Anolis sagrei: one gene and its partners. The protein of the gene in region 1 purifies or fractionates together with the protein of each later gene. This does not show direct contact. Links are inferred from orthologs where the notes say so. Each region holds a gene or a part of one and is shown on either strand. Other genes may lie near its edges.

Region 1 (7,600 bases):
GCCCTCAGTTCTGATTAGTTTCAGGCCAGGTATTTGTTAGTTGTGCCCTGGGATGCCAGAGACTAATTGAGGAGTTTCATCTTCAAAAGTTTGTTTTCTGACACAGAGCTCTGGCCTTCCCACAGCTTTCTGAATCAGTGCAAGAAAATTGAAAACATGACCTTGCTTTTAGTTTAGAATGTTATAATATGCCAAGGACGTTTTATCTGCCCGTATTTGTTACCATTCCTTTCCCTATTTGCACAGTCTCTGTTGTGTGATGCCATTGCTTCTCCCAGCACTCCCCATCATTTGTTGTCTCTCCCACTGCTGAGATCATCACCTTCTGTTGTCAATGGTACATTTTTAACTCAATGGTTTTCAACCTCTAGTTCTCCAGATTGTGTGGTTTCGGCTGCCAGAATTCCTGAACATTAGGCTACAACTTCTATGTGTTGAAGTCTAAAACAATTGGAGGTTCACCTACACTTAATTAATAAATAATCTGATTGCTATAGCCTATGGAGGAAAAAGCATTTAAATAACATTCTGAGATCTACCAGCTAGAAGCAGGTGCAAAATAGTGGCTGGAGTGCAGATTTGAGATACTAATGCTGGCTAAGGAAGCAGAGCTAATCATCAGTTATAGTTCATGATGCATAGACTAGGATGTGTTTATAAATCTATATCTGAGTGATTCCAGATCAGTAATTCTAACACAGTGCTAAAATTGCCTAGCAGAGCTTCACTAAGATGTGGTCATAAATAATAAATTAACTACCAACAGAGCTTTAAAAAAATTTAGTAAAATAATTACTTTACAGGAAATGAACAGTGAGGCTGGGAGATAAGTGACTGACATAAAGCCCTGAAAGGGAATTTATTTAATTTTTACTTGCTATTATTAAACTGCTGGAAGTGAAAAACCCTTTCCTTTATACGACTAATCACCAGCAGTCTGTCAGTATATACCTATATTTCATGTATCCAAGGAACATGTCTAAATATCTCAAAATTAAATATGCCCATTTAGGGTTTTGGCAGGTTGTACAATGCATAACAAGCCCTGCATCTGTGTGTGTCAACTTTGCATGGATAAACAAATCTGAGGCTATTTTATTTTATTTATTTATTTCCCGTATTTGTATCCCGTCACTTCTCAACCCCTGAAGGGGGACTCAGGACGGCTTACAATGTGCCCCGTTACAAGGCCGCTACATGACAATTACAATAATAAAATCACAATTGGACACAAATAATAGTTAAACAATACATAAGCAATCATTAAAACAGTAAAACAGTCTTGTCAGCCATATTGTCATTCCAGTCATGTCCCTCTAAAGTGCTGCTATATCTAATGTCTGAAAGCCTGGTCCCAAAACCATGCCTTTAATTTCTTTTGGAAAGCCAGGAGGGAGAGAGCCGATCTTACCTCTGTTGGGAGTGTGTTCCATAGGCAGGGAGCCACCGCCGAGAAGACCCTGCCTCTCGTCCCCGCCAGACGCATTTGTGCTGTTGACGGGAGCGAGAGCAGTGCCTTCCCGGATGATCTTAGATTACAAGGTTGGATGTAGGGGTGGATGCGTTCGGACAGGTAAGCTGGGCCAGAACCATATAGAGCTTTATAGGTCAAAACCAGCACTTGAATTGGGCTCAGAAATGGACCGGCAGCCAGTGGAGCTGGCACAACAGGGGGGAGGTATGTTCCCTGTATGTCGCCCCAGTTAGTAATCTTAATTTCTATTGAAATGAAGGACATCTGTCTAAGAATATGATTGGAGCTCCTTCTACACTGCCATATAAAATCTAGATTATCCGTTTTGAACCAGATTATATACCAGTGTAGGCTCATATAACCCAGTTCAAAGCAGATAATGTGGATTATCTGCTTTGATAATCTTGATTATATGGCAATGTAGAAAGAGCTAGAGTCACACTGGAGGGCTTAGAAAATTAGAGGACCTATTTGTCAGACATGGATACACGAAACCCATGGATACAGAGCTCATACTCTTCTGTTCTCTAATGGGAAGACTACAGTTGGTTATAATGAGTTTCTAATCTTAATGTTGGATGTTATCTCAAAAGCATATATTCAAAATAAATATTGTTCCAGCCAGTTGACAAAATTATGAGATCAAACCCTCTGTAACAGTCTCCCTCACACATACAAGTCCCGGTGACCTAACCTTTTAAAGATATCAATAACTTTGTGGGATTTAGACATAATACTAAGGGCCCCTCTACACTGCCATATAATCCAGAATATCAAAGCAGATAATCCACATTATCTGCTTTGAATTGGATTATCTAAATTTACATTGCCAGATAATCCAGCTCAAAGCAGACATTCTGGATTATGTGTTTGTGTGGAAGGACCCTCAGTCTCTTTGTTTATCTCGTTTAGCCAATGGTACTTTTTTTGGATGTTACTCTTCACTGGTTAAAATCTTTGATCCATCAGCAAACCAATTCTTTATTTCAGTATGTGTATTTTTTCTATAAAGCCATCCAGTAAAATGCAGTATATTTGAACAAAATGTTGAACATTATAAAACAACAAACAGGAACAAAGGTCAATCACCTTTGCCTTCTGCTTTTCCTTTGTCACATTCCCACTTGAAATAAATCTTGGATCTGCATCACTTTTAAAACCTCACTATGTTTATTCTAGGGCCCTTCCACGCAGCTATATAACCCAGAATATCAAGGCAGATAATAATAATAATAATAATAATAATAATAATAATAATAATAATGTTTGTTGTTTATTCGTTCAGTCGCTTCCGACTCTTTGTGACCTCATGGACCAGCCCACGTCAGAGCTCCCTGTCGGTTGTCACCACCCCCAATTCCTTCAGTCAAGCAAGTCACTTCATGGATAACATCCATCCATCTTGCCCTTGGTCGGCCCCTCTTCCTTTTTCCTTCCATTTTCCCCAGCATCATTGTCTTCTCTAAGCTTTCCTGTCTTCTCATTATGTGGCCGAAGTATTTAATCTTTGCTTCTACTGTCCTTCCCTCCAATGAGCATCAGGCTTTATTTCCTGAAGTATGGACTGATTGGATCTTCTTGTGGTCCAAGGCACTCTCAGAATTTTCCTCCAACACCACAGTTCAAAAGCGTCTATCTTCTTTCGCTCAGCCTTCCTTATGGTCCAGCTCTCACATACGTAGGTTACTGCGGGAGATACCATTGCTTTAACTATTTTGATCTTCTTTGCCAGTGTGATGTCTCTACTCTTAACTATTTTTTCAAGATTGGCCTTTGCTCTCCTCCTCAAAAGTAAACTTCTGATTTCCTGGTTGCAGTCTGTGTCTGCAGTAATCTTTGCCTCCACGTTTTCTTCCTCTATTTGCCAGTTATTAATCAGTCTTGTTGCCATAATCTTTGGGTTTTTTTTTTTTAAAAAAACTTCAGCCCAGCTTTTGCACTTTCTTTTTTTACCTTGATTAGAATGCTCCTCAGCTCCTCCTTGCTTTCGGCCATCAAAGGGGTATCATCTGCATATCTAAGGTTGTTAATGTTTCTTCCAGCAATTTTCACCCCAGCCTTGCTTTCCTCAAGCCCTGCACATTGCATGATGTGTTCTGCATACAAGCTGAATAGATTAGGTGAGAGTATGCAGCCCTGCCGTACGCCTTTCCCAATCTTGAACCAGTCTGTTGTTCCATGGTCAATTCTTACTTTTGCTACTTGATTGTTATACAGATTCCTCAGGAGATAGACAAGATGATTTGATATCCTCATACCACCAAGAACTTGTCACAATTTATTATGATCCACACAGTCAAAGGCTTTAGAATCTATATAAATAAAAATGTAATGTTAGTTTGTGGGATCAACATAACTCAAAAACCACAGGACGAAGTGACACCAAATTTGGACACAGTACACCTCTCAGGCCAACAAGTGACCATCACTCATAAAAACACTGAAAAACACAGCAGAAGAGACTTAAAAACCAAAAACCATTTTTTTTACAACAGATGTGCAAAACCACATACAAACACACATATACACAAATATAGACACAATAAACACATATATACAGACTGGACCACAGCAATGCATGGCAGGGGATGGCTAGTAGTCAATAAAACAGAAATAGATGTTTTTTCTGAAAACCTTCCCAGCTGGTAAACTGGGAAGGATTGCTGGGAGTTGTAGGCTGAAACACCTGGGGACCCACAGGTTGAGAAATACTGTGTTAAGTCTATTAAAAAGGTAAAGGTAGTCCCCTGACATTAAGTCTAGTCATGTCTGACTCTGGGGTGTGGCGCTCATCTCCATTTCTAAGCCGAAGAGCCAGCGTTGTCCGTAGACACCTCGAAGGTCATGTGGCCGGCATGACTGCGTGGCTCCTGGTTAAGTCTATTAGACCTGGGCAAACTTCGGCCCTCCAGGAGTTTTGGACTTCAACTCCCACAATTCCTAGGGAGTTAAAGTCCTAATCCCCTGAAGGGTCAAAGTTTGCCCAGGTCTATTGTAAAGTGTGCGCTTTTAGTCAATGGGACCAGGCAGCACCGCTTCCCTCGCCCTGCTTGGAGCTTGGCCTTGGGAGGCTGTCCCACGTGACAGGCAGGGAGAGAGACGCGCATGCGCCGTCGCGGCCTCTCCTCGCCCTACTGACTCTCGGCCTGATCATGGCGGCCGGCGGGGCGGGCGGGGACCTGGGGGCGGCTGCCTCCCCGTTGCAGGGCTGGGAGCGGGAAAATGCGGCCCGCGAGGCGGCGGAAGGTAGGGCTGGAGTAGAAAAGAGCGGAGGGATGCCTTAGAGCGGGAGGAAGGAGATGCTTGAAAGGGGGAGAGCATCTACTCCAGGCATGGGCCAATTTGGGCCCTCTAGGTGTTTTGGACTACAACTCCCACCATTCCTAACAGCCTCAGGCCCCTTTCACCTGGAGGGCCCAAGTTGGCCCAGGCCTGTTCTGCAATGTAGAATGAATACAGTTTGGCACCACTTCAACTGCTATGGCTCAATTTTATTGACTTTATGGGAATTGTAGTTTTACAAGGTCTTGCAACTTCACTGCTGGAGGCTGTGAGTGCCCCCCACCAAACTACAACTCCCATGATTCCATAGCATTGAGCCATGGTAGCTCAAAGTGGTGCCAAACTGCTTTAACTCTACAGTGTAGATGTTTGACACTGAGCTGTTAGAATATCATATGTCAAGGCCATTTCAGTGGAGTGACTTATATGAAATCCTGATCAAAATGAGTCAAGATCATGTGTAGTCAAATAAGGCATCAGTTTCTCTATTTCTGTGCATCTACATACTTCAGAATAAGGAAAATAGAGTGGGGGCAATTGGCTATTATCTCCAAGCAGTAAGAAGGCCAGCTTGTAGATGTGTGTTAATCATAGTTTCCGATGTGCTCCTGAGAATAGTTTCATTTTATTTGTTCTTGTGGGTAAGGTTGTGTTTAGCATTGTTACAGCTACATTTTTGTTGCTAACCATGCCGACTGCTACATGTATAAATTTGCACCAAAATTGTTTCCTTCCTTTATTGTTGCATTGTTTCCTTCCTTTATTGCATTCTACTTTTTCTTCAAATGAAATCCAAAATTATTTTGTTGTTAAATATGCAGCATAGAATCATTCAAAACATGAATGGAAAATTTGAAAAGATGGGAAGGGAAAAGAAAAACATTGAAGCTTTCTTCTTTGTCCACCTCAGCTAGCACTTCACTTGGATGTAAATAAGAAGCTCTGGCATGTTATCAGTCTTCTGCATCCCTGTGTTTTGTTTTGTTTTGTTTTTGAGAAGGAGCTGACCCTGAGTATCCAAGAGCAGATGCTGCTCATCTGCTTTTTGGGTGTGCATACTGCTCATCCAGGGACAGCCAGAAGGCTGAAGCAGATGCATGTAGTAATGTTTCTGACATGGAAAGCCTGAGTACTGCAACCTTTTATTATTTAAAGAAGGAGCCCCCAGTGGCTCAATGGATTAAACCCTTGTGCCTACAGGACTGCTGACTTAAAGGTCATTAGTTTGAATCAGGGGAGCAGGGTAAGTTCCTGTCTGTCAGCTCCAGCTCCTTGTGCAGGGACATGAGAGAAGCCTCCCACAGGAGGTAAAACATCTGGGTGTCCCCTGGGCAACATCCTTGCAGACGGCCAATTCGCGACTTTTTTTTTTAAAGAGACAAAACTTGTAGTGTTAAGGATCCCTGTGATGGAGATTCAACTGTGTAAGAAAGCATCCTGCTTGATGGTCCTATAGATCTGTGATTAAAATTTCTGTGATTAAATTCCCTGTTTATATCCAAGCCAAATTTTGTTCAACTTGGATCTTACCTGATAGCTCTACATAAGGTCAAAGTGCAGTGCCTGGGGTAATTTTCTCACACTTGACCACATTATATTTACAGTTGTACTAGAAGATAAAAAGAGGAGTGAAGATAAAAAATGGCGGGCCTCCCATTTTACAATGGGAGTGTACCTTGTACAACACATAAACCTTAGAGTGTACAGTCCTAAAAGTATTCATAAATAAGTCCCATAGTGCTCAGTAGAACTTATTTCTAGTAAATGTTCTTTGGATTGCAGCTAATGACAGTTGCTCAACATGTGTCTTTCTGGGAGTTCAGAAGCGAACTAAGTCTCTTGATTATCTCTCTAAAATGTCTAATTTAATGACTGATTAAAATATTGTCTTGCTTTTGGCAGGCATTTTCTTTCTGGGGTAAAAGGAAAGTGTATTTTGCTGTTTTCTGGGGCTGGGAATAGGGTTAGGCAATGCTTGTAGGGTTAACTTCTGAATGCCAGCCTTGCAGATTAAAATAATATTTCTGCTAACTAACTCTTACAGACTTGTGTATAAGAAGAAAAAGGAAAAAAATAAACCCAGATAAAAAGCCAGCAGTTTCATGTGCTTTGCTCACTGGGAGTCATTGCTGCAGCCTTTGTTAACTGTCTTTGTAGATTCTGTAACACTTAATTAGCATGAAAGAAGCAGTTTGACCATCATAAATTTTGATTGGTCCAGGACACACATAAACAAAATGTTTTCTCTATGATGTCTTCGAGATTAGGCAGAACTACCTTGGATGCTGAAGTGCTTATATAATTCATTCTTGCAATAGACCTGCTGGGACTGTGCTCACTTCCTTGTATCCTACCATCACAGCATTGTCAAATTGAGACCCCAACTACACTGATAATTTAAAGCTGTTTCAAACTGGTATTGAAGAAAGCGTTTTCACTGTGCAGATGATTTTATAGGACATTCTGGAACCAGCACAAAGCCCAAATGATGATCATACAAACAAAAGAGCTCATTAAGGGATTTATTTTGGGTGCTTTTGTGGGAGTTTGGTTTGGTATGATATTAAATGGTCAGTGTTGATGTGGCTTCAGGCAGACCATTCTTAAGGGCCTGGAAACAGCATGATTAGCAGCAGTTGTTTTTCATAGAACTGCAAGAATATAACAGATATTCAGAAGATTTGACAAAGCAGACATGATGATACTGTAATACTTGCTTTTTCTGGGGGAGTAGCATGGGGTGAGGAGGGCAAATGAAGGTAGGTTCTACTCACTTGAATGCAGAACAAATCAGCCTTGTGTTTATTTTTTTAATTTCAAAAAACCCTGGTAGCTTAAGGCAAG
Region 2 (7,206 bases), about 47 Mb from region 1:
AAAAAGAAAAAGAAAGAAAGAAAGAAAAACCACACAGATTTTGTAAATTTGGTATTTGGTTAAATGTCCTTTGACCAGTATCTGGCCACTTGGAGTGCCTCTGGGGTTGCCGCAAGAAGGTCCTCCATCGTGCATGTGGCAGGGCTCAGGGTGCATTGCAGCTTTATAGGTGATAACCTGCACCTTGAATTGGGACCGGAAAATAAACAGCAGCCAGTGGAGCTCCTTAAACGGGGGTTGACCGCTCCCTGTAAGTCACCCCAGTTACTAATCTGGCTGCCGAACGTTGCACAAGTTGTAGTTTCCGGGTCGTCTTCAAGGGTAGCCCCACGTAGAGTGCATTACAGTAGTCCAGTCTGGAGGTAACTAAGGCATGGACCGCCATGGTCAAGTCAGACTTCACGAGGTAAGGTTGCAGTTGGCGCACAAGTTTTAATTGCACAAAGGCCCTCCTGGCCACCGCTGACACCTGCGCATCAAGAGTCGGCACTGCGCCACCGGGGGCTCCATGAAATCTACTACCAGTATTAAAAATAGGCCTAACTAAACTAATACTACACCCCATATTATACCATACCAAAACCTCTGTATTGATTTGATATTAATGTTGAAATACTGTAAATAAAAGCAAATGAGGGCACATAAAGACAAACTTAATGTAACTCAGTTTTACTATATTATTAAAATAGCCTCATGAATGTAGTATGCAATTTTAGTTACGTGGCCACCAATAAACTTTTGTCGGTTGCTTTTGAGTTCCAGTTAATTGAGAGTCTAGTGTATATGCAAGGAAGTAATCTTAATATCCAAGATGATATTAAACTTTTAGCGGGTTTTGCAGCAATATAAGCCCACAGTCCATTCCTTAACTTTGTCCTCAATAACTTTCTAGCATCTTCAGAAACACAAGAGTACAAGAAGCAGGTTCTTTGGACACCTTCCTTGAGTCCAGAGGCTTCAGATTTTCTTTGTGCATTTCCTCATATTACCTATGAATGTCAACACTCTTGTTATCTCGGAAGTGGCACATACCAGCCTACAGCAGCCAGCGAGATAAGCCTCTTGGCTAAACATTTCAGGCCATTTCTTAGACCTATTGAAAGCAAAAGCCTGCAGCGTCTGCAATATTTCCAGGGGCTCATGGCAGAACCTTAAATCTGACATCTCTCCCAGCCGTGTTCCTTGCCTCTGGCTTTGTAAACTGGCCCAAACCGGTGTTTCTTTTCCTGTGACCTTCTACAGTGCTCTTTGGCCAATAGAGTGGTTGCTTCACACTCCTTCTACACTGCCACATAAAATTTAGGGCCCTTCCACACAGCCCTATGTCCCAGAATATCAAGGCAGAAAATCCCACAATATCTGCTTTAAACTGGGCCATCTGTGTCCACACTCAGATAATGTGGGATTTTCTGCCTCGATATTCTGGGATATAGGGCTGTGTGGAAGGGCCCTCAGTTTATCTGCTTTGGAGTGGATTATATGGCAGTGTAGACTCCTATAATCCAGGTCAAAGCAGACAATCTGGGTTATCTGCTTTGTTAATCTGGATTATATGGCTGTGTAAAAGCTAAGTTGCTTTCCAAAACTACAAAGTCCAGGTTTCCATAGCATTGAGCCATGACATTTCTGCTTTAATTCTAGATACAGCACTCTAATGACAGCACTCAACTATTTCGGGCAACTTTCTAATCCTTTGGCACAAGGGTACATCTGCACTAATGCAGTTTGACATCACTTCAACTGCCATGGCTCAATGCAATGCACTTTTATTTATTTATTTAGAACTTTTATATACCGGTCTTCTCACCTCCAACGAGGGACTCAGGCCGGCTTACAACAAGGGGTTCATACACAGTAATTTAAAAACACCATATCAATAATACACTAATATAAACACATTAAAGTGCTATCATATAATTATATAAAGTAAAGTCTTTGACATGATGGCAACAGGATGGGACAGCAATGGCTCCAAAAGTGACCCATTTAAGGTGGAATCCGGTCAAACAGGGATGTGTTATTGCCCCAACTTTATTCTCCATCTTCATCGCTATGATACTTCACCTTGTTGATGGGAAGCTCCCCACCGGAGTGGAAGTCATCTATCGGACAGATGGCAAGCTATTCAACCTCAGCAGACTGAAAGCCAAAACCAAGGTTACAACATCTGTTATAGAACTCCAGTATGCTGATGACAATGTTGTCTGTATGCATTCAGAAGATCTACAAGCCACTCTAAACACCTTTGCAGAAGCTCCCAAACTCAAGGTCAATGCCCACCAAACCCTTCCAGTGTGTTCTGTTGGTCATGGAAGTCCTGCATGCCATGTTTGGTTCAATTCCATCATTGGTGGAGTTCAGAATGCTCTTTGATTGTAAGTGAACTATAAATCCCAGTAAGTACAAATCCCAAATGTCAAGGTCTATTTCCTCCAAACTCCATCTGTATTCATATTTGGGTATATGGAATATTCGTGCCAAGTTTGGTCCAGATCCATCATTGTTTGAGTCCACAGTGCTCTCTGGATGTAGGTGAACTACAACTCCAAAACCTAAGGACACTGCCCAACAAACCCTTCCAGTATTTTCTGTTTGTCATGGGACAGTGGTTCTCAACCTTCCTAATGCTGCGACCCCTTAGTACAGGTCTTCATGTTGTGGTGACCCCCAACCGCAACGTTATTTTCGTTGCTACTTCATAACTGTAATTTTACTACTGTTGTGAATTGTAATGTAAATATCTGATATGCAGGATGTGTTTTTCAGTCACTGGACCAAATTTGGCACAAGTACCCAAGACACCCTAAATTGGAATGCTGGTGGGGTTGGGGGTGATTGATTTTGTCATTTGGTAATGCTGGAGTTGCTGGGATTTATAGTTCACCTAAAATCAAAGCACCTTCTGAACTCCATCAATGATGGAATGGAATCAAACATAACACACAGAATTCCCATGACCAAGAGAAAATACTGGGAAGGTCTGGTGGACATTGACATTGAGTTTTTGGAATTGTAGTTCACCTACATCTAGAGAACACTGTGGACTCAAGCAATGATGGATCTGATCAAACTTGGCACAAATACTCAATATAGAATCATAGAATCAAAGAGTTGGAAGAGACCTCATGGGCCATCCAGTCCAACCCCCTGCCAAGAAGCAGGAATATTGCATTCAAGTCATCCCTGACAGATGGCCATCCAGCCCCTGTTTAAAAGCTTCCAAAGAAGGAGCCTCCACCACACTCCGGGGCAGAGAGTTCCACTGCTGAACGGCTCTCACAGTCAGGAAGTTCTTCCTCGTGTTCAGATGGCATCTCCTCTCTTGTAGTTTGAAGCCATTGTTCCACGTCCTAGTCTTCAAGGAAGCAGAAAACAAGCTTGCTCCCTCCTCCCTGTGGCTTCCTCTCACATATTTATACATGGCTATCATATCTCCTCTCAGCCTTCTCTTCTTCAGGCTAAACATGCCCAGCTCCTTAAGCCGCTCCTCATAGGGCTTGTTCTCCAATGTGAACACTAGTAGAATTTGGAGAAAATAGACCTTGCCATTTGGGAGTTGTGGTTGTTGGGATTTATAGTTCACCCACAATGAAATAGCATTCTGAAGCCTACCAACGATAGAATTGGACCAAACTTTCTACACAGAACCCCCATGACCAACAGAAAATACTATGTTTTCTGATGGTCTTTGGCGACCCCTCTGACACCCCCTTGCGACCCCCACAGGGGTCCCGACCCCAAGGTTGAGAAACACTGTCATGGGAGAACTGTGTGCCAAGTTTGGTTCAATTCCAACGTTGGTGGAGTTCAGAATGCTCTTTGATTGTAGGTAAACTATAAATCCCAGCAACGACAATTCCCAAATGACAAAAACATTTTTTTTAGTGGAGGACATAAATTGGACTGTTAGGTGTCTTGTGTCCAAATTTGGTGTCATTTCCCCCAGTGGTTTTTGAGTTCTGATGGTAGAAAGAACTAACATTACATTTTTATTTATATAGATGATTATTATTAATATTATTGCCCTCCGACAAACTCACTTTAAAAGGAGAGGCGCGCGCTGGCAAGTCTCGTCCAAAAGGGGAAGCGGGAAGCGATTGGGAAAGAGAGAGGTCTGATTTTACCCGCGCGCAGCAGGAGCCCCGCCCCCGGCGCCTGATTGGCCAGCGCGACTTTTGCGCATGCGTATTGCAAGGGGCCCGGCATGATTGGCCCAGGGTCCTCATTCTACTCTGTGTTGCTTTGGAGATGGCGGCTCGAGTCGAGGAAGAAGGAGAAGAGGAAAGGAGGAGGAGGGCAGAGCTGGAGGAAGCGGCGCTGGAGGAACTGATGGAAAGGAGCTTCTTCGAGGAGGAAGAGGAAGAGAAGGCTCTTCCTTTGCTCAGGTGGCTGCCTGGAATGAGGAAAGCGCGCGGTTTCAAAGAGCAAGGGCATCAGCATGGATTTTTTTTAGCGTTGGGTCTCTTGAGGAAGAACTTCCTGACTGGGAGAGCCGTTCAGCAGTGGAACTCTCTGCCCCGGAGTGTGGTGGAGGCTCCTTCTTTGGAAGCTTTTAAACAGAGGCTGGGTGGCCATCTGTCAGGGGTGATTTGAATGCAATATTCCTGCTTCTTGGCAGAATGGGGTTGGACTGGATGGCCCATGAGGTCTCTTCCAACTCTTTGATTCTAAGAACTTCCTGACTCTGAGAGCTGTTCAACAGTGGAACTCTCTGCCCCGGAGTGTGGTGGAGGCTCCTTCTTTGGAAGCTTTTAAACAGAGGCTGGATGGCCATCTGTCAGGGGTGATTTGAATGCAACATTCCTGCTTCTTGGCAGAATGGGGTTGGACTGGATGGCCCATGAGGTGTCTTCCAACTCTTGGATTCTATGATTCTATGACTCTGGGCCCACACTGCCCTATATCCCAGGATCTGATCCCAGATTATCTGGCAGTGTAGACTCATATAATCCAGTTCAAAGTAGATCATCTGGGATCAGATCCGAGGATACAGGGCCTCAGCAGATGGTGGCCCCTACCACCCATCCATTCAAGATATATGAGCTGCCTCTAGTTGTCACTCTGGCAGACATAACCATGGTCATATTAATAGCTGGGAGGGTCTTTGCACAATTGGAATGTGTCCAGAGGAGGGGGACTAAAATGATCAAGGGTCTGGAGAACAAGCCCTATGAGGAGCGGCTTAGGGAACTGGGCATGTTTAGCCTGAAGAAAAGAAGGCTGAGAGGAGACATGATAGCCCTATATAAATCTGTGAGAGGAAGTCATAGGGAGGAGGGAGCAAGTTTGTTTTCTGCTTCCCTGGAGACTAGGACGCAAAACAATGGCTTTAAACTACAAGAAAGGAGATTCCATCTCAACATGAGGAAGAACTTCCTGACTGTGAGAGCCGTTCAGCAGTGGAACTCTCTGCCCCGGAGTGTGGTGGAGGCTCCTTCTTTGGAAGCTTTAAAACAGAGGCTGGATGGCCATCTGTCAGGGGTGATTTGAATGCATCATTCCTGCTTCTTGGCAGGGGGTTGGACTGGATGGCCCATGAGGTCTCTTCCAACTCTTTGATTCTATGACTCTGGGCCCACACTGCCTTATATCCCAGGATCTGATCCCAGATTATCTGGCAGTGTAGACTCATATAACCCAGTTCAAAGCAGATCATCTGGGACCAGATCCGGGGATACAGGGCTGTGTGGGTAGAGACTCAGCAGATGGTGGCCCCTACCACCCATCCATTCAAGATATATGAGCTGCCTCTAGTTTTCACTCTGGCAGATATAGCCATGGTCATATTAATAGCTGGGAGGGTCTTTGCACAATTGGAATGTGTCCAGAGGAGGGGGACTTAAATTATCAAGGGTCTGGAGAACAAGCCCTATGAGGAGCGGCTTGAAGAGCTGGGCATGTTTAGCCTGAAGAAGAGAAGCCTTAGAGGAGACATATTTATTTATTTATTGTGTCATCAGCAACCATTGTATCACAATTCTAACAGAGCAAAACAAACACACAGATTAAAAAGAAAAAGGAAAAAAAACCCACAGATTTTGCAAATTTGGTATTTGGTTAAATGTCCTTTGACCAGTATCTGGCCACTTGGAGTGCCTCTGGGGTTGCCGCAAGAAGGTCCTCCATTGTGCATGTGGCAGGGCTCAGGGTGCATTGCAGCAGGTGGTGAGTGGTTTGCTCTTCTCCGCACTCGCATGCCGAGGATTCCACCCTGTAGCCCCATTTCTTAAGATTGGCTCTGCATCTCGTGGTGCCAGAGCGCAGTCTGTTCAGCGCCTTCCAAGTCGCCCAGTCTTCTGAGTGCCCAGGGGAGAGTCTCTCATCTAGTATCAGCCATGAATTGAGGTTCTGGGTTTGAGCCTGCCACTTTTGGACTCTCGCTTGCTGAGGTGTTCCAGCGAGTGTCTCTGTAGATCTAAGAAAACTATGTCTTGATTTAAGTCGTTGACGTGCTGGCTGATACCCAAACAGGGGATGAGCTGGAGATGTCTCTGCCTTGGTCCTTTCACTATTGGCTGCTACTTCCCGGCGGATGTCTGGTGGTGCAATATCGGCTAAGCAGTGTAATTTCTCCAGTGGTGTGGGTTAGGGTATTCTGGATATTGTAGTCAGAAAGAGTGCGGCCATCTTCCAGCTGCTTCCCGGCAAAGATGAGCCTCTGCTGGTCAGGCGGGATGCCTTCTTCCTCCTGGATCTTGGCCTTCACATTCCCAATGGTGTCACTGGGCTCCACCTCCAGGGTGATGGTCTTTCCTGTCAGGGTCTTCACAAAAACCTGCATCTTCTATGCAATTTTGATGATGTTGCTTGTTGTTTATGTTCTAGATCAGGGGTCCTCAAACTTTTTGAACAGAGGGCCAGGTCACAGTCCCTCAAACTGTTGGAGGGCCGGATTATAATTAGGAAAAAAAACATGAATGAATTCCTATACTTCACATATCTTATTTGTAGTGCAAAACACTTAAAAACAATACAGTAATTAAAAATGAAGAACAATTTTAACAAATATAAACTTATTAGTATTTCAATAGGAGCCCCCGGTGGCGCAGTGGGTTCAACCCCTGTGCCGGCAGGACTGAAGACCGACAGGTCGCAGGTTCGAATCCGGGGAGAGGCGGATGAGCTCCCTCTATTAGCTCCAGCTCTTCATGCGGGGACATGAGAGAAGCCTCCCACATCAAATCATCCAGGCGTCCCCTGGGCAAT
Region 3 (7,670 bases), on another chromosome or scaffold:
CCACACTTTCTCTTCCTTCCTTCCTTCCTTCCTTCCTTCCTTCCTTCCTTCCTTCCATGCCCTTATACCTTTCCTTCTTCCCTTTCTCTTTTTTTCTTGTCTTTCTTCCCTCCTTTTTCATTTATCCTCCACGGTCCTCTCTTCTTTTAGTTTTCTCTCTCTTTCCTTCCTTCCTTCCTTCCTCTCATACATTTGTCACCTAGCAACAGTCAATCTGCTTCACTCTATAATATTATATATTATTATATTATATAATATTCACTATAATATGAACCCCAAACCTTCAATTTCCAGTTAAGAACCACCTCTCTCTGTAAGTCCTGTACTTTTTGTGCAAGTACACTCTAAAAAAATATGAAAACCAAGGAACCAAGCAAACAAACTCAAACAACATTGTTTGTTTTTTTTTTAAAAAAAACTGTATAAAAGGAAGTACTTTTGCTAGAAGTGGGAAAGAAAAGGGAAGCATTTTTCACAATAGGGGGGTTTACATGGGAACCAAACCACTATATACACTTTGTCAGAGTTTACGGAAATACATGCAGATTATCAAAACATAATGGATAAATTTTGCCATGCAGCTAAAATGGTGCAAGGACAATTTATGGTTATCTACACAGTAGAATTGATGAAGGTTGACACCACTTTAACTGCCATGGCTCAGTGCTAATGCAGTTTGGTGAAGCAACACAATTTGACTCCTGTATCAATAAGGTAGTAAATTCATGCAAGTTTTAAAAATTCATACAATGATGAGCTCTCCAAGGTCTTTAACCCTATTCCTAAATCAGTACAGCACCTTGGAGAGCGACTAAAATAAATCAGTGGTCTGGAGATCGTATTCTTTGAGGAGCCGCTTAAAGTTCTGGGTCTTAGCTGCACAAAGAAGAGGAGACATGATCGTCATGCTTAAATATTTGAAAGGATGTCACAAGTATCTTCAAGTATTGACAGCTGACTCTTGGTGATCCTATCAATTTCATTTTTTTAAGGCAAGGAATACCCTGAGTGGGTTTTGCCAATTCCATCCTCTGAAATATAGCCTACAGCACCCGGTATTTCTTGTTGGTTGCCCATGCAAGCACTAACTAGGGCTGACACTGCTTTGCTTCCACAATCAGACAGGATCCGGTGCTCCATAGAACAGTATTAATGCCCACGAAAGCCATTATTTATTTATCATGTCAGAAGCAAATTGGGAAAAGAGTTATAATGTATAGGGAAAAAAAACCAGGTTAAAACTTGGCATTGCGCTAAATTTCCTTTGATCAGAAGCTGGTCACTTGGAGTGCCTCTGGTGTCGCTGTGAGAAGGTCCTCCATTGTGCATGTGGCAGGGCTCAGACTGCATTGTAGTAAGTGGATCATGGTTTGCTCTTCTCCACACTTGCATGTCATGGACTCCAATTTGTAGCCCCATTTCTCTGGTGCCAGAGCGCAGCCTGTTCAGTGCCTTCCAGGTTGTCCACTCTTCTGTGTGCCCAGAGGGGAGTTTCTAATCTGGTCTCAGCCACTGATTGAGGTTCTGGGTTTTATTCTGCCACTTTTGGACTCTTGCTTGCTGAGGTGTTCCTGCGAATATCGTACGAATATTAGAAAGCTATTTCTTGATTTAAGGCGTTGGTTTACTGGCTGATATCTGAACAGAGGGTGAGCCGGAGATGTCAATGCCTTGGTTCTTTCATTACAGGCTGCTACTTCCCGACAGATGACAGGTGATGCACTACTGACTAAACAGTATAATTTCTCCAGTAGTGTAGGGCATAGATATCCTGTGATAATGTGGCGTGATAATCTCACCATAAATTGGAATTGTCTGGAAAACATACAAGGAAGGAGCTTATTGTGGCTGGTGGGATCCTGGGGATTTTATGTATTTTTATAGCATGATGTTTTACTGTGTTTGTTTTTGATTGTATATCTTGAATGTTTCACCCTTTGACAGCAAGGGTATTATAAACAAAGGTTATTATTATGACTTCATGCAAATACTGGTAGTTTCCCCACCCATTGCTTTTCTGAATAATAAAAAATAATACTTGCCAATGCAAATGAAACAAATTATTGAACCTATATTGGGTACAAGGGTTGGCATTGTGGGGAAACTTTAATTATGTTAGACCTGCAAAATAACTCATTATTTTTACATTGCTGGCAGAATTGCATGACACTTCTTCAGTATAATCCAATGCAGACATAGAGGTGTGTAGGTAGTCCCTGTGTTGCAAACATCCGACTTACAAATGACTCATAGTTAAGAACAGAGATGAGATGAGACAAGAGGAAGTGAGAGAAACCTTCTCCTCGGAGGGTAAATTTACCCCTGGAAGAGTTATCATGAGGAAAGAGTGCCTCCACGGAAGCTTTATCACCAATCCTTGTTTCCACAACAAGCAAGTTTTCCAATGGTTACAGGGGTGTTAACTCTTACTCTAGGAATGAGCTCCCTCTATCAGCTCCAGCTCCTCATGCGGGGACATGAGAGAAGCCTCCCACAAGGATGATGAAAACATCAAATCATCCGGGCGTCCCCTGGGCAACGTCCTCATAGACGGCCAATTCTCTCACAACAGGAGTGACTTGCAGTTTCTCAGGTTGCTCTTGACACAACAATTTTTTTTAAAAAAAATTGTTTTACTCTATTATTATTTTTATTACATTTGTTATTTGACTCTCTTTATTATTATTGAAGGTTAGAATAATGGTTTAATCAAAGTTGGACAATCTTATCTTAAATGACAGTTTTATGTAAATATTCAAAAACATTTAACCTACTGATGCCTCAATTAATGTAATTTTATTGGTATCTATTTTTATTTTGAAATGTACCAGTAGCTGCTGCATTTCCCACCCTAGGCTTATACTTGGGTCAATATGTTTCCCTAGCTTTTTTGTGGGAAGATTAGGTGCCTCGGCTTATATTCAAGTTGGCTTATACTCAAGTATATACGGTGTGTGTGTGTATGGCTGAAGTTACACGTAAAAATGTACCTGTTCAAACTGACATACAAATTCAACTTAAGAACAAATCTACAGAACCTATCTTGTTGTAGCGTGCGGACTGCCTGTACAGCCTGTTTCCTTTTTTTTTTTTTTAATATAAATAAGGGAAATTGATGGGTGAGATTAAGAGATTAAATGAGGAACTATGAATTCATCTGAAAGAAAAGTGGAGACAAAGATTGCGGGTTTTGGCTTAAATTCACACTTAACCAAATTTTCATTAATTGAAAATCAGAATTTCTCCCCCAAGGGTCTTTCCACACAGCCCTATATCGCAGAATATCAAGGCAGAAAACCTCATATTATCTGAGTGTGGACTCAGATAACCCAGTTCAAAGCAGATATTGTGGGATTTCCTGCCTTGATATCCTGGGTTGTTGTTGTTCATTCGTTCAGTCATTTCCAACTCTTCGTGACCTCATGGACCAGCCCACACCAGAGCTCCCTGTTGGCCGTCACCACCCCCAGCTCCTTCAGTCACTTCAAGGATGCCATCCATCCATCTTGCTCTTGGTTGGCCCCTCTGCCTTTTTCCTTCCATTTTCCCCAGCATCATTGTCTTCTCTAAGGTTTCCTGTCTCCTCATGATGTGGCCAAAGTACTTCATCTTGGCCTCTACTATCCTTTCCTCCAATGAGCAGTTGGGCTTTATTTCCTGAAGCATGGACTGGTTGGATCTTCTCGCTGTCCAAGGCACTCTCAGAACTTTCCTCCAACACCACAGTTCAAAAGCATCTATCTTCCTTCACTCAGCCTTCCCTATGGTCCAGCTCTCACATCCGTAGGTGACTATGGGGAATATCATTGCTTTAACTATGCGGATCTTCATTGCCAGTGTGATGTCTCTACTCTTCACTATTTTATCGAGATTGACTATTGCTCTCCTCTTAAGAAGTAAGTGTCTCCTGATTTCCTGGCTGCAGTCTGCGTCTGCAGTAATCTTTGCACCTAGAAATACAAAGTCTGCCATGGCTTTCACGTTTTCTCCCTCTATTTCCCAGTTGTCAATCATTCTTGTTGCCATAATTTTGGTTTTTGTTGTTGTTTAACTGCAATCCAGCTTTTGCGCTTTCTTCTTCCACCTTGATTAGAAAGCTCCTCAGTTCCTCCTCGCTTTCGGCCATCAAAGTGGTGTCATCTGCATATCTAAGGTTGTTAATGTTTCTTCCAGCAATTTTGCATTCATCAAGCCCCGCACATCGCATGATGTGTTCTGCATACAAGTTAAAAAGGTTGGGTGAGAGGACGCAGCCTTGCCGTACGCCTTTCCCAATCTTGAACCAGTCTGTTGTTCCGTGGTCAGTTCTGACTATTGCTACTTGGTCCTTGTACAGATTCCTCAAGGTGGCTTGGTATGCCCATCCCACCAAGAACCTGCCATATGTATTATGATCCACTCAATCAAAGGCTTTAGAATAGTCAATAAAACAGAAATAGATGTTTTTTTTTAAACTCTCTGCCTTTTCCATTAACCAGGGCTCTGGATATGGCCTTTGCCCTCCTTCCGCCACATCTTTGAGCTTCAGGAAGACCTTTTGCGCCTGCGCGTTAGATGACGGCTTATTTTTCTACCCACACTAAATATGCCGGCGGTGGCGCCTCCGAAGGCATACGCATGCGCAGCGCAGTCGACGGCTCGCGGAAGAGTCGTTGCTTCCTTGTCACTCTCCAGTGCGCTGGCCAATGAGGAGCGGGTTGGCATGGCAACAAGGCACTGGGCAGGCACGCTCCTCCCCTGAGCTTGTTGGCGGGAGAGTGCTGAGGGAGTCAGGAGAGAGGTGAGAAGTGTTTGGGGAGGAAAAGGGGGAAATAGCGGATAATGGGAGTTGGGTGCCAGTGGGAGGAAGGTGTCTCTGAAAGGAAAGAACCTATAGTAGTTATTTGAAGGGGTGAAAGTTCAAACATGTTTAGGGCACCATTGAAATGAGTGGGAATGAGGTGCCTGAACTGTAAATGGAGTTGAGGCCTACCTGGGAAAAGGAAACTGGAAAACTAGAACAGTTGGGGATAAGGTACTCTTACTTTGGGGGGCGCGGGGGAAACGACTACAACACTCAGAATCCACGAGCCCCCTTTTCAGTGGAAGGTGGGAGTTGAAGTACAAAAAAAGATTAACATTTCTAAGGTTATAATGACATAAATTATTGAACCTATGTTGGGTACAAGGGTTGGCATTGTGGGGCAACATTAATTACGTTAGACCTGCAAAATAACTCATTATAGTGGGTTTGTGTGAAAAAGGAGAATGAAATAATTACCCCAGAGGATAGGATCTGACACCCAAATGACCTTAACAGATTAGAGAGCTGGGCCAAAACCAACAAAATATAATGTAATGTAATGTAATATATTGTATATACATATAATATTATAATGTAATACAATGTAATACTACTAATAATGTGATATTATAATTATATATTTTATATTACATGTAACATTACTAATAATATTACAATATAATGGTATAGTACAATATAGTAATATATAGTACTGATATTCTACCATGCTAATAATATAATATATTGTGTATATATATATATATTCTGTAAGCCGCTCTGAGTCCCTTTCGGAGTGAGAAGGGTGGCATATAAATGTTGTAAGTAAATAAATAAAATAAAATAAATTGCAAAAGGGAGAAATGTTCCATACTCATTCAAACAAAAAAATGAATTGCACAGGTATTAAATGGATGACACCTGACTTGAAAACAGTTCGTGTGAAAGGGATCTGGGAGTCTCAATAGACCACAAGGAGCCACAGTGGTGCAATGGGTTAAACCCTTGTGTCATCTGAACTGCTGACCTGAAGGTTGGTGGTTTGAATCCGGTCACTGGGATGAGCCCCTGTCTGTCAGCTCCAGCTTCCCATGTGGGGACACGAGAGAAGCCTCCCATAGGGTAGTAACACATCCGGGCATCCCCTGGGCAACATCTCTATAGACGGCCAAGTCTCTCACACCAGAAGCGACTTGCAGTTTCACAAGTCTCTTCTGATACATTTTAAAAAAAAAAGACCACAAGCTAAACACGAGCCAGCCATGTAATGCAGCAGCTCAAAAAGTCAATGTGATTCTAGGCTGTATAGTGTTTAGATTGAGGGACCTGTTTTAGAGACTATTTTATGTATATCTTGTACAATTATAGAATGGTGAAATTGAAGGGGATGTAGGAAATCCTGGGGATGTAGGAAATCCACAACTTAAGTATTCCCGGCAGAGGCTTATACAAGCTTTGTTTAAAAACTGAGGCTGGATCTACACTGCCACTTTATTTATTTATATATTCAATTTATATACCACTTTTCTCACCCCAGAGGGGGGACTCAGCAGTTCACATTACAAATGGCAAAATTCAATGCCTCACAAGTATAAAAGCATCATATATCAAATCAACAACATAAAACAATAAATCAAAACCATTAAAGCTATACAACTGTAAACAACAATCACAGACACAACATAAAACATTTAAACCTTGCATCAAACCCGAGTTGTCTTTAGCTACTTCCATAATGCAGATTAGCTGTGTTAAACTGGATTATATGACAGCGTAGACTCTTATAATCCAGTTCAATGCAGTTAATCGACATTCTGAAACTATATTATATAGCAGTGTAGATCTAGCCGGAGAGGTCCATCATCTGCCAGAGTAATCCATTCCAGTGTCAAACAGCCCTTATGGTCAGAGGGTTCTTCCTTAATACATTGTCAAAAACTTCATATAGTCTAAATTTATTGACAGCTTTTTGCCTTGGCATCAATAGCACTTCCATTTATCTCTTACTGTGTGAATTAAATAAGACTGAAGCTTTTCATCAATATAAGCAAGGCCTGTACAAATGTGATTATGTGTCTTTGATGAGGAAAAGGCAGTACCACATTTGAGAGGGAAAGGAGGCAAGTGGTAGAACCACCACTAAGCCCTGGACAGCAAAGTGTGAGCAGTTGCTTGTGAAAGAAATAGGCAGTACAGGTAACTGGCACTGAAATATCATACTCTGATTTTGCTGTGAACACATGTCCAAGAGGTGTGTGTGTGGGGGGGGGGGGGGGAGACTTTGGCTTTGATTAGGGAGTGGGCTGGCTGCTGAAAATTATTTGTTTTCTTAGGAATGCTAATATGGAAAACAAAAGGAAGGCTTCTAAAGGAGGCTCCGGTATGGGGGAACCCACGTTGTCCCAACGGAAAAAGTCACGAGGAGCGGACTGGGAGGAAGATGCTCCGTCCCAGTTTGAGGAGGAACTGGCCTTTCTGGATGAGGTGGAGTCTGAGATGGCTTTGGAGGCAAAGGAAACACAGCTGGTACCTGATGACATCCCCCTTGGTGAGTTAGATGGGGACAAAATAGGGAGGACACTCCCTGAGCCGGTGAGGCTGAAGGGTTTTTAGGATGCAGTGAAGAAGCTAGGAAGCCTGTTTTGCATCAATCATGTTGTAACAGCTCTTGGTTTTTAACATGAATATATATTTTCTTTTGTTTTGAAAATTTTGTATATTCTGTGTTACAGGATTAACATTCATTTGCATTCCTTTAGAAATTCATTAAGTCCGAGTTTCTCAAACTGTGCTTCAGATGTTTTGGACTTCAACTCCCACAATTCCTAATAGCTGGTATGCTGGCTGGGATTTCTGGGAGCTGAAGTCAAAAACACCTGGAGGAGCACAG
Region 4 (7,897 bases), on another chromosome or scaffold:
TTGTACTAAATAAAATGAAGTAAAATAAAAACCGAACAGCAAATTGAAATTTCTAGACAAGGCTGAACACTATGAAAGAAATCAAATGCATTGAGCTGATTACCTGTAATTTTGTATCCATAAGCAGCCAGCTGTCCAGCCATATATTCTCCATCTGAGCTATTATGAGAACATCCCCATGTGCGTATCCAAATTTTCTGTACACCTGGAATAATGCTGTCAGATAAAGAGATACAAGAATGTCAATTTCATCCCATAAGAAACATTTGTCCATAGAAGGTTACAGTAACTATCAAGCTGTGAAAGTTCATAAATACCTTTGAGTAAGAAATTGTAGCAACATAATATTTGTTGAGCATTTGTATATACTATTAAAATAAAATATGATAAGCCCTGTAGCAGCATTTAAATATATTAGAAAAAAATATTAGAGAAAAGAGAGCAGACGTGAGAGGACTTAAATTCTTTAGATTTTAAATAGATTTCAAACCTGTTCTGAGTTTACCTGCATTTACTTTGGCTTGGCAACATCTTTTAAAAGATAACACATACCTGTCACTTGGGGGATCATCATCCACTTCTACATTTTTTTGTGAATGGCGTTTTCGCACATTAGGAAGAATGCTCTGTCTTGCAAATTGCCGGTCAAGTGGCTTTGGATCATGGGCTGACACAATATCTTCAATGTCTTCAAGGAGAGAATTGCAGACTGCAGACATCTTCTACAAAAAAAGGATGTACAATATTGGAACAAAAAATACAAAACCATTCAATTGTAAATGCTTCTACATTTTAATTGTTAACCAACTGGAGAATATAAAGGTATTACTAATCAACAGACAAAAACAATAATCCATAACCAAGCATGGAAAATTGCTCATTTTTTTAAAAAAAATAAAGAAGCATATGCTCTGTGAATTCACTCTAATAATTATGGCATTGTGAGACCACAACCTCTGAGTATGCCTGCCATAGATGAAGGTGAAATGTGAGGAGAGAATGCTTCTAGAACATGGCCATACAGCCCAAAAAACCTACAACAACCCAGTAATTCCAGCCGTGAAAGCCTTCGACAATACAATTAAAGACCAATTAAAATACTCAGTAAAAATTAAGAAACAATGGCTGGGTTTCCTGCAATGTAGTTACAGGTTGACAACGTAAGAGTTACAAAACTGTTACTGGACTAAATTCAGACACTTCACTTATTCACAATCAGGGATTATTACCACAATTGTAAATACCCACCAAGCCCAATCTTAAACTCATGGGAGCTGCTCCAAGTGAAAAAGATCTGTAGTGTGGGCACATGAGGTGTTTCAGAACGACACAGGGAACCCCATCCTCTTCCTGGTACAACAAGTAGAAGAAGCTTCTGTTCATTATCCGTTGGCTCAGGGGTGGAAGAGGGCTTGTTACATCCCAGTTCAAGCAAGGGGAGGGGGTAGATAGCTCCTTGTGTGATACTGTTTATTGTTTATTATGTGATTTATATTAATTTACTTATTGTTTTTGTTTATTGCTTTTGTTTATTGATGTACTGTTGGGCTTGGCCTCATGTAAGCCGCTCCGAGTCCCTTGGGGAGATGGTGGTGGGGTATAAATAAAGTTTTATTATTCTTTATTATCATTCTGAAGCATTCCACTCACCACCTTTAAGGATATGATTCATGGGAAACAGCCCTTGCATTTGTGGCCAAAGAGGCTGAATCTACAAGACAGTATTCAAGTTACGCACAAGATGGGTTCTGTAGGTTTGTTTTAAGTTGAATTTGTATGTCAGTTGGAGCAGGTACATTTTTAAATGTAACTCCTGAGATAGATAGATAGATAGATAGATAGAAAGATAGGTCAGCCCTGGCTATCACAAGAAAGGGTTAACACCCCTGTGGTATTCGTTTTCCTTTTTGTGTCCCTGTTCAGAAGATTTCAACTCACTTTCAATCTCTGGGATAATTGGATTTTGAAAAATGTGGCTTGTTGTGGAAACAAGGATGGGTGAAAAGGCTTCAATGGAGACCCCTTTTCCCCATGACAGTAACTTTTTCAGGAGCGAATTTCCCTTCAGAGTAGTAGTTATTTCACTTCCTGCTGTCTCTCGACCCCGCCCCCTTCTTAACGATGAGTTGTTTATAAGTTGGATGTTTATAACTTGAGCACTGCCTGTACTCTGCCATATAACCCTGTACCTGCTTTGAACTGGATTACACGAAGACTGTCATATAATCTAGTTGAAAGCAAATAATCTAGAAACAGAAACTGGATTATATGGCAGTGTGGATCTAACCGGAGTGACGATTTTTCACCCCAATGAGATTTGGAAAAGCTATGGCACAACCACCATATCGATACAAGTAAGTATTCTTTGCCTTAAAACCCCTATGGAACTCATGGGGTAGCCATAAACTGACAGGTGACTTACTACTTCATCACACTGGAGAGAAAAAATCCACTTTAAATCCGGTTTCTGCCTCCTGCAGAATTCTGGGGTTTGTAGTTTAGTGAAGCTGTTAAAGGCTCCTCCTTAAACTACAAACCCATGAATTCTACAGGAGGCAGAAACCGGATTTTGAGTGGATTTTTTCTCTAGTGTGATGAAGTAAGGCCCATATCGGCCCACACAGCAGCAAGCAAAGAAAGTATTTTTTTGCCACACGGCGAAGGCCCCACCCTCAGGAATGGGGGACAGGACGGCCCTCCACGCATAGCTGAACTACAACTCCCAGCACTCCTCACCGACGGCTTTCCCAGCTGGGAATGATGGGAGTTGCAGTCCATCTGGAGACCTGCGCCCTTCCCCAGCCACCCAAAGGGCGACCCACCGCCAAAGGCCACCCGTTTGGCTCCCCCCGCTCTCGCAGCCCCAAAGAGGAAAAAGAAACAACGCCTTTCGGAAGGAGAGCAGCTGCACGAATGACAACACTCACCTGCAAAACCCAAGCGCGGTCTTTACTTCCACATGGGCGACGCCATGATGAAGCCACGCCCCCTATTGCGTCGGAAACACGGACGGCACGGCAGAAGGGACAAAATTAGTCGCTTTCGGATTCGCGAAACGAGGAGAAGCGCTCCTTTTCAGAGGATGGAAAGGGGTCAAAAGAGGTGACACTCCTCTTCTTGGAAACTTTCTGGAGCTGAAGAAAGACTATCCACGGACATGGATTTTACTTTTTAGTACTTCCCTGTCCTATCTGTAGCGTTTAATAATAATACATCATTATTATTATTATTATTATTATTTTACTGACACAAGAACACAGTAAGTCACAGCAAACGAGATATATATATATACTGGATTTCATATCACAAAATCACGAGTTGAACACTTCCCAAGCATCTAGGACTGTGATGTACTTTCGAATGATGCGCTCAGATCCAAGTAAGGTGGCCTTTTGCAGTTGACAGATCGTGGTTTTGTCAATGTTTCAATTGTTTCAAAATGCCAGCTGAGGTCGGCACCCAGTGTGCCCATTACCACTGGGACCACCTGGACTGGTTTATGTCAGAGCCTTTGCAGTTCAATCTTGAGGTCTTGATAACAGCTGAGTTTTTCCTGTTGCTTTTCCTCAATGTGACTGTCACCCGGTATGGCAACATCAATAATCCAAACCTTTTTCTTTTCCACAATTGTGATGTCTGGCATATTGTGTTCCAAAACGTTGTCAGTCTGGATCCCAAAGTCCCACAGTATTTTTGCATGTTCATTTTCTACTACCTTTGCAGGTCTATGATCCCACCAGTTCTTTACTACTGGTAGGTGGTTATTATAAAAAAACAAACAAACAGAAAATACACTTATTAGCATGCCTGACAGGGGTGCACCAATAGTGTAGAATGAATGCAGTTGGACACCACTTTAGCTGCCATGGATCAGTACTATGGAATAATACAAATTGCAGTTTGGTGAGCCACCGGTACTCTTTGGCAGAGAAGGATAAAGACTTTAAAAAACTACAGTCCCCATTATTTCCATAGCATTGAGTCATGGCAATTAAAGTGGTGTCAAACTGCCCTACTTCTACAATGTAGACAGAATCATAGGGTTGGAAGAGACCTCGCGGGCCATCCAGTCCAACCCCCTGCCAAGAAACAGGGAAATCGCATTCAAAGCACAAAGATCAACAAAGTGGGGGGGGGGGGGGGGGAGAGGGAGATTGAGAGAGAGAGAGCTGAAAATAATTTGAAGGATTGGAAATGGGAGAAGAGAGTTCCCCAGGACAATTTTACAAGGAAGTGTGTGCAGCATTAACAGGATCAGTGCAGGTCCAATAGACAGGGATGATGCCAGATTTTTTTTCAACTGTGTAGACAGTCTTTTCTCTAATCAATCTAGAATTAATTTTTCTCTCATCTATTATTGCAGTAACAGCATAGCAATAATAGAGCAGAGCTACAGCTCCAGTTGTCATTTCTATTCTGAAGCTCCACTTTCATGTCAAGCTCCACACAACACTCCCAATTTTCACTAGGGCTCTTCCATACTTCTCTACCCGTTTTCAGGAGCTGGGATATAACAGATTACATATCTGATTTGATTCAATGTTTATGCTGCAAGAACTGAAGTAGGAAAGAGTCGTTTAGTTGTTTGAGCTTTGAACTATGACTGGAGGAAACCCATGGGCGAGTCAAACTCTCCCAGTCTCAGAGGAAGACAATGGTAAACTACCTGTGAATCAAGTCAAGAATAAAAATCAGTGATTTTTATTACTCTGCCAGGGCTGCTGGATTTAGATGGGGGAAAGGACTAAATCAATAGCAATAACCAGGGTTCATTCCTAGCTCAGTAATTTCAGCCTTTGCATCAACCATATGCTGCAGGACTAACTCCTGAATGAAACCCTGGAGAGTTACTGCCATTCCCTTGTGGGAGTAGCAGGTTAGATAGACCATAAGGCAGCTTATCCTCATATAGTTCCAATAGTTATTATAATATGCGTTATAGCCCATTACTTCTTAAACTTGGGTCCCAACCCCAAATGGTGTCCCCTGAGCTCAATGCTGGGGTCCCAAATCTGGCAAGAGTAAACTTTTCTGAATGTCACCTAGTGGTTGTTTTAGACCAGGGGTCCTCAAACTTTTTAAACAGAGGGCCAGGTCACAGTCCCTCAAACTGTTGGAGGGCCAGATTATAATTTGGGGGGGGGGGGGACACATGAATTCCTATGCACACTGCACATATCTTATTGTAGTGCAAAAAACCACTTTAAAACAATACAATACTTAAAATGAGGAACACTTTAAACTAATATAAACTTATTAGTATTTCAATGGGAAGTGTGGGCCTGCTTTTGGCTGATGACATAGGATTGCTGTTGTGTGCTTTCAAGTAGTTTCAGACTTAGGTTGACCCTGACTGAGGCCAGGTAAATGACCTTGGGGGCCATATCCACTCCCCGGGCCTTAGTTTGAGGACCCCTGTTTTAGACAATAGTTTCCAACCTTTTTTTGACCAGGGAGTACTCTGCAACACTAGTACCAAAAGGCCTGTGAATCAGTTTTTGGTCAACTCTAGATTTGATTTGGTTATTTGGGGTGCTGATTCAAAAACCTGCATTGGATAGACCACATCAGCTCTAGTTTCTTATACAGACAATATGCCATCCAGTAGTCGCCATCTGCTCACCCACAGATAACCATATTTAATAATCTACAGCTGGTGTCATCTATCCAAGGGGGCCGGGATGGCCAGTGACAGGGAAGTAGAGGCAAGCCCTAGGGCTGAGAACGGCGGTCAACAAATGCAGTAAATGCAAAAGGAGCGGAAATAAAATAAATAAATAAGGAGGAAGGAGGCTTGCGGACCAGATTTTAGTCCTCATGGCCCACTGGTGGTCTGTGGCCCACAGGTAAGGAACCACTGTTTTAGACATTTACATGAATCTGTCGTGTAGTGTTTGCAGTGGCATCTGTAGAAGATGTTTCAGCTGAACTTCATAAAATGGAAAATAAGTCTGTTAAGCAAGTCTTGCAAATGCTGATTTATTATCAGTAAATGTTTGGTTTTTATACCTATTTCATATACTTGGGATTACATAAACATTTCTAGGGCTGAAAAGGATTGTGAGTGGAGAAGTTTAAGAAGCCCTGGTACAGCGAAGTACATTTTACTATCTGTATAATCAAGTGGAATGAATGGTAAGCTTAAGTACAATATGCCGCTACATTTAAAACCATCCCATTTATCAAACTGCTAAGAAAACACAGGCAGCCTAGTCACTTTGCAACATTTTGCTTGCTGCCCCTGCAAATGCCATTTTTGGTGAAAAATGCATTTAAAATTCAATGATTTCCTGATATAAAGCTTTATTTAATACCATAAAAATGGTGAGTTACATACATTGGAAGAGGCAAGGTCACTGCTTGAGAACAGGTCCATCTATACAAATGCAAAGCTGTTCTTGGGCTTTATTTGTTTTTTGTTTTTTTACATTATTTTACAGATTTGTAGAACTAGCTTACTCAAGGTTAGTATTTTGCCCAGAAATTGACGTAAGTAATTTGTACAAAATGGTGTATAACATTTTTCCCTTTCATTTCATTCTTCCTACAGCGGTGCCCTTCATATTGTAAAAGCATTCATGTTCACACAAACCTTTTAATTTCCTCCACAAGACAAACTTTAAATACTGTATTTTTTATTATTTACAGACCCACGTTATTTTTTTTCTTCAAGAAATTACAAACCAGCTATAAAATTCTGGCAGGTTTTATAAATTCATTCCTATTGTACAAAATTGTTAGATGACTAAAATATCAGAACACACAACTTAAATATCCAATGAACTATGCACATGTTTGTACATATATAAAAAACACACTTAACACTGTTTAACAGTTCTTAATGTGTTGCTCTTTTTACACAATTATATTCCAAGACTCAATCATACAGCTTTCATACTTTTACTCAGCTATTTCATGTGTGTCTATAGCAGCATCTCAGAGGTACCAGAAAACCTGCAAACATATTTATATATAAAACACAAACATTTTAGTATTTTATTAAGTATCAGATAGAAAAAAAAGCTAATGCAAACTGTTTGGGTTATTCAACCTATTAACCTAAAATGGCAACATTTTACACAACTCCGGGTGCAAATTCTATTCATGTCAGAACATACACTATACCAGTAAAAGAGTTATAAATTATTATTCAATAAAGTGGGTATTAAAAGGTGTATTATTTACACTTTGGGTGAAGTGTCGGCTTTGTATCAGCTCCCAAAACTGGAAGCAGAGGCAATTAACCCACTAAAACAAACACAGAGTTTTGAAAAGTGAAGCATGCCATAAATATCCTTTTGCAGAAAAAGCCCACAGTGCAATTCTTGTAGGCACTTTAAAACCGCCCAACTTTGTACCGCAAACTTTCTCTACCAGTCTTATTGCACACTGCAGATAGTTAAACTGAATGGTGCATCTTTGTTTACATTTTAAAAAAAAAATGACACCCTCACATCTACTTCTTTGAAACTTCCAGTTTTTTAAAATAGACAAAATGGTCACCCTGATCTATCTAGTGGTTAATATGCATTTGGAAGTCCCACACAAGTATTTCAACAGGATGGACAGCAGGATGCATGTCACAAGCTCCATCCAAAATAGGGGGCTGTGGATGAATAGCTCTTTGGGGAAAGATAAGTGAAATCCTACCAAACGACTGTTCTGTTGGAGGGGAAGGGGTCTACATAAAATCTATACCCTGCCTAATTTCCCTTCCCTGCCAAATAGAAGTAACACAGGATTTCAGTTCTCCAAATAGTTACAAAAACACATACTTGGCTGCTCCAAATACCCAATGGTATACTGGAACCATCATCTCTATGTTTCATCTAGGACTGTAAGACATTTAAAGTGTATTTTACAAGAAAAAATGATTTGAGGAAATTAATTCCCTCAA

What was found.
Region 2: the proteins of MMS19 (region 1) and DNA2 purify together in Homo sapiens (affinity purification with mass spectrometry; 3 studies listed by BioGRID and IntAct, counting the BioPlex papers as one, with this or other methods). This does not show direct contact. The link is inferred for Anolis sagrei from reciprocal best matches to the Homo sapiens genes MMS19 and DNA2.
Region 3: the proteins of MMS19 (region 1) and POLD1 purify together in Homo sapiens (affinity purification with western blotting; 3 studies listed by BioGRID and IntAct, with this or other methods). This does not show direct contact. The link is inferred for Anolis sagrei from reciprocal best matches to the Homo sapiens genes MMS19 and POLD1.
Region 4: the proteins of MMS19 (region 1) and CDKAL1 purify together in Homo sapiens (affinity purification with mass spectrometry; 4 studies listed by BioGRID and IntAct, counting the BioPlex papers as one, with this or other methods). This does not show direct contact. The link is inferred for Anolis sagrei from reciprocal best matches to the Homo sapiens genes MMS19 and CDKAL1.

What each region holds. Positions count from the first base shown.
Region 1 is NC_090023.1:217,825,294-217,832,893, reverse strand, and holds the start of MMS19 (MMS19 nucleotide excision repair protein homolog), read left to right. Parts: upstream 1-4,588; 5' UTR 4,589-4,626; coding exon 4,627-4,720; intron 4,721-7,600. UniProt on the Homo sapiens protein: Key component of the cytosolic iron-sulfur protein assembly (CIA) complex, a multiprotein complex that mediates the incorporation of iron-sulfur cluster into apoproteins specifically involved in DNA metabolism and genomic integrity.
Region 2 is NC_090023.1:170,563,876-170,571,081, reverse strand, and holds the start of DNA2 (DNA replication ATP-dependent helicase/nuclease DNA2), read left to right. Parts: upstream 1-4,203; 5' UTR 4,204-4,248; coding exon 4,249-4,385; intron 4,386-7,206. UniProt on the Homo sapiens protein: Key enzyme involved in DNA replication and DNA repair in nucleus and mitochondrion.
Region 3 is NC_090026.1:28,159,330-28,166,999, reverse strand, and holds the start of POLD1 (DNA polymerase delta catalytic subunit), read left to right. Parts: upstream 1-4,651; 5' UTR 4,652-4,685; coding exon 4,686-4,780; intron 4,781-7,113; coding exon 7,114-7,328; intron 7,329-7,670. UniProt on the Homo sapiens protein: As the catalytic component of the trimeric (Pol-delta3 complex) and tetrameric DNA polymerase delta complexes (Pol-delta4 complex), plays a crucial role in high fidelity genome replication, including in lagging strand synthesis, and repair.
Region 4 is NC_090024.1:78,905,102-78,912,998, forward strand, and holds the start of CDKAL1 (threonylcarbamoyladenosine tRNA methylthiotransferase), read right to left. Parts: upstream 3,020-7,897; 5' UTR 2,928-3,019; intron 723-2,927; 5' UTR 720-722; coding exon 553-719; intron 217-552; coding exon 104-216; intron 1-103. UniProt on the Homo sapiens protein: Catalyzes the methylthiolation of N6-threonylcarbamoyladenosine (t(6)A), leading to the formation of 2-methylthio-N6-threonylcarbamoyladenosine (ms(2)t(6)A) at position 37 in tRNAs that read codons beginning with adenine.